2 linked regions of the Caenorhabditis elegans genome follow. The protein of the gene in region 1 purifies or fractionates together with the protein of each later gene. This does not show direct contact. Each region holds a gene or a part of one and is shown in the gene's direction. Other genes may lie near its edges.

Region 1 (4,636 bases):
TTCCAATGGTTAATCACACAAAACGTGGATGGGCTTCACTTAAAGTAAAGACGGTCAAAAATGAGTTAAAATTTTTTTTTAATTCAGAGCGGGCTCAAAAATGGTAACGGAACTTCATGGCAGTGCTCTTCAAGTAAAATGTACAACATGTGATTACATTGAATCAAGGTACATTGGACTGAATCAACTCAATTATGGAAAAAAAAAAACAATTTCTCAATGAGGAATTGTTTGATAAAAGCTAAAACAAATGATGATTTACTAAAATTGAACAATCACATGTAGCGTAGAAAAAAGGATTGTTATACATATTTGGATTTAAAAAAAACGAAAAGATAACATTTTAACTAAAATGTTGAAACTTCCTCTAAAATGTATCGGTGAACTTCCTTATAACATATTTTAATTAACGTACATTCTTCCTAATTGATAATGTTTGATCATTGTAACTTCATTGACTTTTCGATTTCACTCCACTTCCTGAATGTGTGGAATGGCAGACAATCTAAGAGAGTATGGACGCCTCTTAATGTATCTAATAGGCCACTTCACATTTCGGTTTGTGAACGTAAAAATAACCGTTTATTTTATAAGGGATCTCATAAAATTAAAACGTTTCAACTTCAGACAAACGTACCAAGACCGACTTGATTACGCAAATCCTGGGTTTAAAGAAGAACACGTGGCTCCAGGAGAGCTGGCGCCAGATGGTGACATTATTCTACCGTTGGGAACTGAGAAAGTAAGTGTTTTACGGTGGAATAAGTCGAAAAATACAGTGTTTTCAGGGTTTCCAAATTCCCGAGTGCCCAAGTTGTGGGGGACTTATGAAGACAGATGTCACGTTTTTTGGAGAGAACGTTAACATGGACAAAGTCAATTTTTGTTACGAGAAAGTGAATGAATGTGATGGGATTTTATCACTTGGCACGTCGTTGGCGGTGTTATCTGGATTTCGGTTTATCCATCATGTAAGGCTAATGGGATTTACTGGATGACTTTTTTGGTTATCTAAAAACAAAAACGTTTTGATGTTTCCGTGGGTAGCACAAAAATTAACTATTTAAAAAAATTTCAAACAACTTTTTTAGATTGTTAAGAGTCCTTCAAAAATAAAAATGTAAACTTTCAGGCTAACATGAAGAAGAAACCAATTTTCATAGTCAATATAGGACCTACAAGAGCTGATCACATGGCGACGATGAAGTTAGATTATAAAATCTCTGACGTTTTAAAAGAAATGTAGACTAAGACGTGTAGTTTTGGAATTTGATAATATTGTGTTGACGACAGTTTTTTGGGTACTTTCCGTTTGTATTTTGAAACTTTTTTTTATTGTTTGAATAGAATGGCAATTTGTTTCATGTTAATTGGAATAAACAATTTTTGATGAATATGATTGTGAAAATGCGTTATTTTCAGAAAAAAAATCATCTACTCCTGCAAAAAAAGTAACAAAATTGGCAAAACAAAATCCTGGAATTAGGAGATAGACTCAAATATTTTACCAAACAGCTTTTCTATATTATGAGAATATAATCACTTTTTGTTCATCAAGGATAACTTGCTTAGTTCTTTTTTAAAGTTTATGATTCTTCTTTAGTAGTAGTTTTTTTTTTTAAATCAAGATTCCCAATGGGATGATCATTTTAAACATCGCACCATATTGCTTTGATGACATGATTTAAACTATTTCAACACCTTCGTAAGGTTAGATTTTTATTATCAATTTTGTCAAATATTTTATTTCCTCATTAAACAATTATTTTTAAAACCTTGCTATCAAAAAAATTGTGGACTTTGTTCTGTACCTAGATAATCTTCCAGCTGTTGGTTGGTCTCCCATTATTCTTTCATTTTCGGCGGACCCGCACTCTCTGCCGGCGTTTTCCTTGGCAATACAGGAAGAGGTTACTGGATTTCTCTACTCTACTCTCTCGCCTGTGCAAATAGAGCGCGATTCATCCAAAGATATATTTTTAAGGGTTTTTTGAATGAACGTGATTCAACACAATTAGCTGTAAGATCCGGACTCGAAACTCTTGTGAATAATTTTTCAATAACGTTTATGAATAAAATTAAAAAAAAAACTGTTCTTATTGTTCTTCATTATTTTCACTTGTTTTGACAATCAATTCATCTTCGACAGTATTTTAGGAATGGCACGAAAGTATGTACCACATACGACAGAGCTTTGTGAAAACTCCCTAAAAAAGTTTAAGTCACTGGTAGGGACTGTGGATAAGCTTCTCATCATCACTGGAGCAGGAATTTCTACAGAATCAGGTTTTTTTTCAGGTACAGGTACAATCAGGTACAATATAGTTTTCATTTTCAGGAATACCAGATTATCGATCGAAAGATGTCGGATTGTACACAAAGACTGCACTTGAACCAATTTATTTCCAGGATTTTATGAAATCAAAGAAATGTAGGCAGAGGTGAGAGTACTTTTGAAATTTGTTGGGCCTTACTCTTGCAATTGTGATATTTCAATTTATAAAAACTTTGTGCCAAAGACTTTGAAAAAAGGCTCATAACTGCTCTCACGTATTAATATCATTACAATTTTATAGGTTTTATGATTCAGTAACACATTTTCTTTTTGGCATGCTTAATTATCTTTTGTCTTCAGATACTGGTCTCGTAGCTACTTGAATTGGCCAAGATTTGCTCAAGCTTTACCTAACTTCAATCATTACGCCTTATCAAAATGGGAAGCTGCTAACAAATTTCATTGGTTGATCACACAAAATGTGGATGGACTTCACTTAAAGTAAGTGAAGTTAACAAAATGAAAATATTAAAATAAAAGTTAAGAGCGGGCTCGAAAATGATAACGGAACTTCATGGCAACGCTCTTCAAGTAAAATGCACATCATGTGAATACATCGAGACAAGGTAAGGAATGAAGAAAAATTGGTACTAACTGTTTTGAAATTTGAAATTTAGAACTTTATACTTGGAACAATTTTGAACCAAAACAGGTTTGTACTTGAATGGAATTGAGATAAAAATAGAATGAATGTTAGTTGTTTCAAAATTATTAATAACAAGCAGTTACATATATCTATTTTTGACATTGCTCGCGTAAATCATCTTTTATAATTTCAGACAAACGTATCAAGACCGCCTGAATTATGCAAATCCTGGCTTCAAAGAGCAGTTTGTATCTCCTGGACAGCAAGAGCTAGATGCTGACACTGCCTTGCCGTTGGGTAGCGAACAAGTAAGTTTTTTTTTCAACAATTAGAAACAATTGCATAAAAAAGTTTTACAGGGGTTCAAGATTCCCGAGTGTTTAAATTGTGGGGGACTTATGAAGACAGATGTAACGTTGTTTGGGGAGAACCTAAACACTGACAAAATTAAAGTTTGTGGCAAGAAGGTGAATGAATGCAATGGAGTTTTAACACTTGGGACATCGTTGGAAGTGCTTTCCGGATATCAGATTGTCAATCATGTGAGAAAACAATTTTTTTAAAAATCAGAGCGACTATGTTTTTTAATTGCTGTCAAATACAACAGTCAAAAAAACCGACTTACTTAATCATACCACATTCGACATTTTTGGCAAAATTTCGCTTCGTGTACTAGAAATTCTGAGAAAATATAAAAATCGCTCCTATTGGCTTTTTTTTGAAAACTTTTGGCTACACACTGTTTATACATTCCTAAAATAAAATTACTTGTCTCACTCGTCAAAAATTAATTTTCAGGCCCATATGCAAAACAAACCAATTTTCATCGTGAACATTGGACCTACTAGAGCTGATCAGATGGCAACAATGAAGTTAGACTACAGAATTTCGGATGTTTTGAAAGAAATGTAAAGCAAGATGTGTGGTTTTTTAATTTTTAAGTTCTCATGTTCTCATGTTCTCATGATTTATAAGGGTGTTCACCGTTTTCCATTTAATTGAAAATTATTATTTTTGATTATGTTCTAGAGAAAGTTAACAATACAATAAACGATATGTACATGTTGAAGTTTACACGTACGCCATTTTTTTCCAAAAAAACGAACACAAAACGGTAATATCAGTGAGGGACCTGACTCACAAAACTAACAAGAAAAATACCTGTCAGACAGAAAAAAAAATGACGTTCTCTAAGAACATCGATTATTTTTCTGTCGTTTACTGCCTTGTCTTCTACACATGAGAAAAAGTCCAGTCAGAAAGGTGATAAGCGCTTCGTGATGGCAAAAATCAAACACAAAGGCAGGCGGACAAGCGGTTATCATTTTTGCACATGGAGCCTGGTAACAAAAGTATAACTATCACACCCGTCGTTTATTTGGTAAGTGTTTTTCTTTGTTTTTCGGCTGTGTTCATTTTTGAACGAATTAGATTTAATATGGAATAAAACTTTATTGCATTTCTTTCAGCTCCTCACATTCTTTCATTCAGTATCCGGGTATGCGTTGTACAGGGAAGTAGAAGCAGAACAATTTTTAAATTTAGCAGCAGCAGCATATGCGGACGCCAGTAAATTTAGAGGAAATTTTGCCCATTTGAAAAAAATTAATATGTTCAGGCAATGTAACAGCTCGTCAGTCATGTCTAGATTATGCATTTCCTACTGATGAGTTTCATGTTTTAATGGTTATGTCAACGCCGTGTGATAGGGTGAG
Region 2 (6,908 bases), on another chromosome or scaffold:
ATTTTCGATTTTCAGCGATAATCTAGCTATCAGATAAAATTTATGTAAACAATTTTCACATAGTCTTTCAGTTTCCAACCCTGAATTTCTAATTTTATCATTGAAATTCTTTCGTTAAATGGAATCCAAATCTTGTTTATTGGCCAGTTTAATTTTATTAAATGTGTTTCATTGATCATTAAATATCATTATGTTGATCTTTAAAGTGAACTTAATTAAATCATTTTTATTTTCAGCCCTTTACGAAAATTAACTATCCCACTACGACCAAAAACAGTTTTGAACATTTTGACATTTTGAAAAATCGAAGGTTCTGAAGTTTAAATCATTTATCCTCCTCCTCTGCGTCTCAGTTTTTGTGTTCTAGTGTCCACCCGAGTCGACTGATAAGACAAAATGACACAAACACCGTCTCTCGGCTATCAGTTTGTTGTCGCCGCAAATTCATAGCCATGGTCAAAGTGTTGATCTAGTTCTCTTTGAATCTAGATTTTTTTCAAATTTTTAACTTGATTGTGATACTCTAAGACATTTTATATCTTTAAATCCGCAAAATTAAAAAAAATTATTATAGTGCGTCCATAGTCTGCGGAAAACGGGAATTTCCCGCGTGCGGAAGCGTCCATAGTCTGCGGAAAAACCGGAGTTCCTCGCTTTTTTTTTCCTCAAAATTCAAAAAGTAGGCGTGGCCAACCAATCAGCTGTTGTTTCTTGTTTTCCCATTGCTCAGCTTAAAATTTTACAGCCTCTAATTGGTTGAACACGCCCACTATTTTGAAATTGACCAATAACAAAGCGAGAAACTCCTTGTTTTTTTCCGCAGACTATGGACGCTTCCGCACGCGGGAATTCCCCGTTTTCCGCAGACTATGGACGCACCATTAACACTAATCCCCGAGATATCAAAAAAAAAAACTAACGATAGAACAGCAAAAAATATTGGAATATTTGGCCGTGCGGAATAGATATTTAATATGGCATGCTCATAAACCATTCTAAAAACTAATTTTCTAATTTTACAAAAATCCAAAACTGAATGTTGAACGTTCTGTGGCTTCTGTAGTTTCTGTAGTTTCTGATAACTTCCTTCTTTGTTTACTTTTATTTTTTTCAATTTTCCTTATTTTCTCTAGGTTCTTCGTCTGGTCTTGGGTATGCCACGTGGTTCTTCTTTCACATCTCATTTCACCGAAAAAACCTAGAAAATCGAAAAACAAAATATTTTATTTTCTTCCCTTCTCCTATCATTCTATCAATGTTATCAGTACTGTTGTTATTCTTCTCTACAAATATCACTAGGTGGTTCTATGGAGAATGAACAATGATTTTTAAATCAATTAATGTATCTTCATACATACACTCACTCTCATGTGGTGTGACCTCTTGGTCTTTTCAAAATCTCTATTGCTCTGCGTACGTGACCTTTCACATTTTTCACCGTTCTAATTTATCACGTGGTCAACGTGGATACTTCTAAAAATCTCAAATAATGTCCGAATTCCGAAGAAGTTTACCACACTTCGATTCGTTCTTGAGCTTTCTGCTCTCACACAGTAGAAGGTACACCAAAGTAATGTTTCTGTGTCTCTTCGATGTTCACACTATCATTATTGAATAATCTTCATTGGTTGTATTCACCGAATAGGTTCACCGTCTCAAAACTATGCATGTTTCAGATAAACGACAACGATGCGGTTCTCCCGCATCCCACCGATCTTCGCTAATGTCGTCCGACAGACACATTATCGTAACTATGCCAATGGAGTTATCAAACCAAGAGAATTCAACAAGGTATTTCATTTCTTTTTCGTGCTTGAAGATAAATTCGGAAATTTTTTCAGGTTATGGTGGCCAATCGTGGAGAAATTGCAATCCGTGTGTTCCGTGCCCTCACAGAATTGAACAAAACTTCTGTTGCGATTTACGCCGAGCAGGACAAAAACTCGATGCATCGTCTGAAAGCTGACGAAGCCTATCTTGTAGGAAAAGGTCTTCCACCGGTTGCTGCTTATCTGACTATTGACCAGATTATAGAAACTGCCCTGAAGGTTTGTAGGACAAAAATTGACCAAGATTATCGTACCCTTTATAGCACAACATTGATGCTATTCATCCCGGATATGGATTTCTGTCAGAGCGATCTGACTTTGCAGCTGCTTGTCAAAATGCAGGAATAGTGTTCATTGGTCCTAGCCCCGACGTTATGGCTCGAATGGGAGACAAAGTTGCTGCTCGTCAAGCTGCCATTGAAGCTGGTGTTCAAGTCGTTCCAGGAACTCCTGGACCAATTACAACTGCTGATGAAGCTGTCGAATTTGCAAAGCAGTACGGTACACCAATTATTTTGAAGGCCGCTTATGGAGGAGGTGGTCGTGGAATTCGTCGTGTTGATAAATTGGAAGAAGTTGAAGAGGCATTCCGTAGATCCTACTCGGAAGCTCAAGCTGCGTTTGGAGACGGAAGTCTTTTCGTTGAAAAGTTTGTTGAGAGACCAAGACATATTGAAGTTCAGCTGCTTGGTTAGTTTCAGCGGAAACTATTATAATTACATAATATATTTTTCAGGAGACCATCATGGAAATATTGTTCATTTGTATGAGCGTGATTGTTCAGTGCAACGTCGTCATCAAAAGGTTGTTGAAATTGCTCCAGCGCCAGCTCTCCCAGAAGGTGTTCGTGAGAAAATTTTGGCAGACGCTCTTCGACTTGCAAGACATGTTGGATACCAAAATGCTGGTACAGTCGAATTCCTGGTTGATCAGAAGGGCAACTACTATTTCATCGAAGTGAATGCACGTCTTCAAGTCGAGCATACAGTAACTGAAGAGATCACTGGTGTGGATCTTGTCCAAGCTCAAATTCGTATCGCCGAAGGAAAATCTCTGGATGATCTGAAGCTTTCACAGGAAACTATTCAAACTACTGGCTCAGCTATTCAATGTCGTGTCACAACTGAAGATCCAGCTAAAGGATTCCAGCCAGATTCCGGAAGAATTGAAGTTTTCCGATCCGGAGAGGGAATGGGAATTCGTCTTGATTCAGCATCTGCCTTCGCAGGATCAGTCATTTCACCTCACTACGATTCTTTGATGGTCAAAGTAATTGCATCGGCTAGAAATCATCCGAACGCTGCCGCAAAAATGATTCGTGCCCTCAAAAAGTTCCGTATCCGAGGCGTAAAGGTGAGAATTCAATCAAAAAATGAAATCAAAGTACACCAAATCATGTTGATAGCTATCACCATTTTCTCACTGATAAGGAAACCCATTGCCACTGACTGATATTCTGCCTGATGGCTGATCAATGACTAAACTTTAAACTTTTTCAGACAAACATCCCATTTCTGCTCAACGTTCTTCGCCAGCCCAGCTTCCTTGATGCATCCGTCGATACGTATTTCATTGATGAGCATCCAGAGTTGTTCCAATTCAAACCAAGCCAAAACCGTGCTCAAAAGTTGTTGAACTATTTGGGAGAAGTTAAGGTGAACGGTCCAACTACTCCTCTTGCTACTGACCTGAAACCAGCAGTTGTTTCTCCTCCGATCCCATACATCCCAGCTGGAGCCAAACCGCCGACTGGACTTCGTGATGTACTTGTTCAAAGAGGACCAACTGAGTTTGCAAAGGAAGTTCGCAGTAGACCAGGATGTATGATCACTGATACTACATTCAGGTATAAACTCAAAAAGAAAGTAACATATATTAATTTCACATTTTCAGAGATGCACATCAATCTCTTCTTGCAACACGAGTACGTACCTATGATATGGCTGCTATTTCACCTTTTGTTGCCCAATCATTCAATGGTCTCTTCTCACTTGAAAACTGGGGAGGAGCTACTTTCGATGTTTCCATGCGCTTCCTCCACGAGTGTCCATGGGAACGTCTTCAAACTCTTCGCAAACTGATTCCAAATATTCCATTCCAATGTCTTCTGCGAGGTGCCAATGCTATGGGATATTCAAATTATCCTGATAACGTTATTTACAAGTTCTGCGAGTTGGCGGTGAAAAATGGAATGGATGTGTTCCGTGTATTTGATTCACTGAACTATCTTCCAAATCTTCTCGTCGGAATGGAAGCCGTTGGAAAGGCCGGTGGAGTTGTTGAAGCTGCTATCGCATACACTGGAGATGTTACCGATAAGTCTCGTGACAAATACGACCTCAAATACTATTTGAACTTGGCTGATCAACTTGTCAAAGCTCAAGCGCATATTCTTTCTATCAAGGATATGGCTGGAGTTCTGAAACCGGAAGCTGCCAAGTTGTTGATTGGCGCTCTCCGAGACAAGTTCCCAGATATTCCAATTCACGTTCATACCCACGATACATCTGGAGCTGGAGTTGCTGCTATGCTTGAGTGTGCCAAAGCTGGAGCTGATGTGGTCGATGCTGCAGTTGATAGCATGAGTGGAATGACTTCTCAGCCTTCAATGGGAGCTATTGTAGCTAGTCTTCAAGGAACTAAACATGATACTGGTGAGTTACAATATCGTTTGAAAAATGTCTAATTTATATTTAAGGTCTTTCTCTTGATGACATTTCAAAATATTCTGCATACTGGGAGTCAACTCGTCAACTCTATGCTCCATTCGAATGTGCCACCACCATGAAAAGTGGAAATGCCGATGTTTACAAGCACGAAATTCCAGGAGGACAGTACACGAACTTGCAATTCCAAGCATTCTCTCTCGGACTTGGGCCACAGTTCGATGAAGTCAAGCGTATGTATCGTGAAGCTAATCTTGTTCTTGGCGACATAATTAAAGTTACGCCATCATCCAAGATTGTCGGTGACTTGGCTCAGTTTATGGTGCAAAACAACTTGACTCGCGAAACTCTTGTCGACCGTGCCGATGATCTATCCTTCCCAAAAAGTGTCGTTGATTTCATGCAAGGAAATGTCGGACAACCTCCATATGGATTCCCTGAGCCATTGAGAACTAAAGTCCTTCGTGGAAAGCCAAAAGTCGATGGAAGGCCAGGAGAAAATGCTAAGCCAGTTGATCTAGATGCTGTGAAGGTCGAACTTGAAGAGAAACATGGACGTACTTTGTCTGAAGAAGATGTGATGTCATATTCGATGTTCCCAACGGTTTTCGATGAGTTTGAGACTTTCCGTCAACAATATGGACCAGTTGATAAGCTGCCAACGAGACTCTTCTTGACTGGATTGGAGATTGCGGAAGAAGTTGATGTAAGTGATTCTACATTAATCTACATTTCTGAATTTCACGACTTATGAATTTTATTTCAGGTTGAAATCGAGAGTGGAAAAACTCTTGCAATTCAATTGCTCGCTGAAGGAAAACTAAACAAGCGTGGAGAACGCGAAGTCTTCTTTGATCTCAATGGACAAATGAGAAGTATCTTCGTGGTTGACAAGGAAGCTTCCAAGGAAATTGTAACTCGCCCAAGAGCTCTCCCAGGTGTCCGTGGACATATTGGAGCACCAATGCCAGGAGATGTTTTGGAGCTGAAAATCAAGGAAGGCGACAAGGTAATACAACGCATATCTAAAGATGTAATAAATCAATCATGCATCCGGGATATGTATTCTGAATTTCTTTGAAAAACAAAAAAAGACAAATGGGACGAATTCAGAAGCGGTGGGCCCCACAACGGAAATTGTAGGGAAAAACGGAAAGAGATAAATTTATAGCCTTATGCCTCCCACGTTTTTTCTTCTTGTCCTACACAAAAATCACATAAAAAAATGATGGCATAAAAAATGAATATAGGAATTATTTCTTTTCAGGTTACCAAGAAGCAACCCCTATTTGTGCTTTCCGCCATGAAAATGGAGATGGTCATCGACTCTCCAATTGCTGGAACCGTCAAGGCTATCCATGCACCACAAGGAACCAAATGTAGTGCCGGAGACTTGGTAGTTGAAGTTGAACCATGAACTGACATCAATAAACTCGCATTTTGTCTCTTTTTTTGTTAATTCCATTCACCATCACAAATTCCGCCACATCGAAATTATATTTGGCGTTGTGCTATATAGAATGATTAGCCACCACCTTCTCTTTGCCATTCGAACCATCTCAATGTGTATATTCTGTGTATTGCCTCCCCAAAATTTTCTAAACGTCTTCATTGCCAGTAATTTTTCGTTTTCCCTCCACTTTTGCATTTATATTGTTTTCTTAGAAAAAGTATTTATTGCATCGGGTGCTCATTGTCTTTGTGTAGAATATAAACTCGTTCACTTCTCTCTCAATTTTATCACTGAAACTCACCGAAGAGCAATGCAACTCGATAAAGCAACTCGATAAAATCAATTATTACGTAGAAATCTAATGATGGGAAGAGTCGCCATATCATACGCGCATTGGTCTCGCCACGCGAACTGCGAGCTAGCTCGTCTCACTTTACTGACCACTATTGCTGAGAAGATTTTTAACATAAAAATAGGTTGCAATGGAGACTCATAAATCAACAGGAGTTACAGTAATTTCGTGTTTGCTGGGGAAAATGTTTATCTTTAGACTTCTACATAATACCTACGTTAGTGTAAATAGTACTATTCACTACGCCATTTAATTTAAAAAAAACAAAACACAAATTATAGAGACTGAAATATCTGAAAAGAAAACGTATGTTTTAAAGTTTTATTTATTTTACTTGGGAATGGTTTCAGAGAATTTAGAATTTTAAAACAAATTTAGTGCCATTCGATAGCTGATATTATGTACTTCTTCAACGTAAGAGACCATTTTTGCCTCGGACATCTAGAACTCGAGATATTTGCGTCTGAAAATTACTACTGATTTCAGTTGATTTTCAACGTAAGCCCAACTATTTATTTCATATGGTTAAGAGTTTTTACGTGAACAGAATATACTTCAAAAAGATTTTTATTTATTTATTGTCAGTTCAAAATCACGGCTCTGTGGCT

What was found.
Region 2: the proteins of sir-2.3 (region 1) and pyc-1 purify together in Caenorhabditis elegans (affinity purification with western blotting, with the first as the bait; one study listed by BioGRID). This does not show direct contact.

Annotation. Positions count from the first base shown.
Region 1 is NC_003284.9:13,329,857-13,334,492, forward strand, and holds sir-2.3 (NAD-dependent protein deacylase sir-2.3), read left to right. Parts: upstream 1-2,157; 5' UTR 2,158-2,159; coding exon 2,160-2,286; intron 2,287-2,338; coding exon 2,339-2,441; intron 2,442-2,635; coding exon 2,636-2,776; intron 2,777-2,820; coding exon 2,821-2,901; intron 2,902-3,114; coding exon 3,115-3,229; intron 3,230-3,280; coding exon 3,281-3,463; intron 3,464-3,719; coding exon 3,720-3,833; 3' UTR 3,834-3,990; downstream 3,991-4,636. Other genes in the region: NAD-dependent protein deacylase sir-2.2, read left to right, coding at 1-44, 88-168, 628-742, 789-971, 1,133-1,246; F46G10.4 (Fungal lipase-type domain-containing protein), read left to right, coding at 4,255-4,302, 4,391-4,490, 4,540-4,631. UniProt on the Caenorhabditis elegans protein: NAD-dependent protein deacylase. Catalyzes the NAD-dependent hydrolysis of acyl groups from lysine residues. Plays a role in oxidative stress resistance.
Region 2 is NC_003283.11:11,817,134-11,824,041, reverse strand, and holds pyc-1 (Pyruvate carboxylase 1), read left to right. Parts: upstream 1-1,676; 5' UTR 1,677-1,689; coding exon 1,690-1,791; intron 1,792-1,841; coding exon 1,842-2,048; intron 2,049-2,092; coding exon 2,093-2,519; intron 2,520-2,565; coding exon 2,566-3,182; intron 3,183-3,328; coding exon 3,329-3,675; intron 3,676-3,722; coding exon 3,723-4,483; intron 4,484-4,527; coding exon 4,528-5,201; intron 5,202-5,261; coding exon 5,262-5,504; intron 5,505-5,762; coding exon 5,763-5,912; 3' UTR 5,913-6,259; downstream 6,260-6,908. UniProt on the Caenorhabditis elegans protein: Pyruvate carboxylase catalyzes a 2-step reaction, involving the ATP-dependent carboxylation of the covalently attached biotin in the first step and the transfer of the carboxyl group to pyruvate in the second.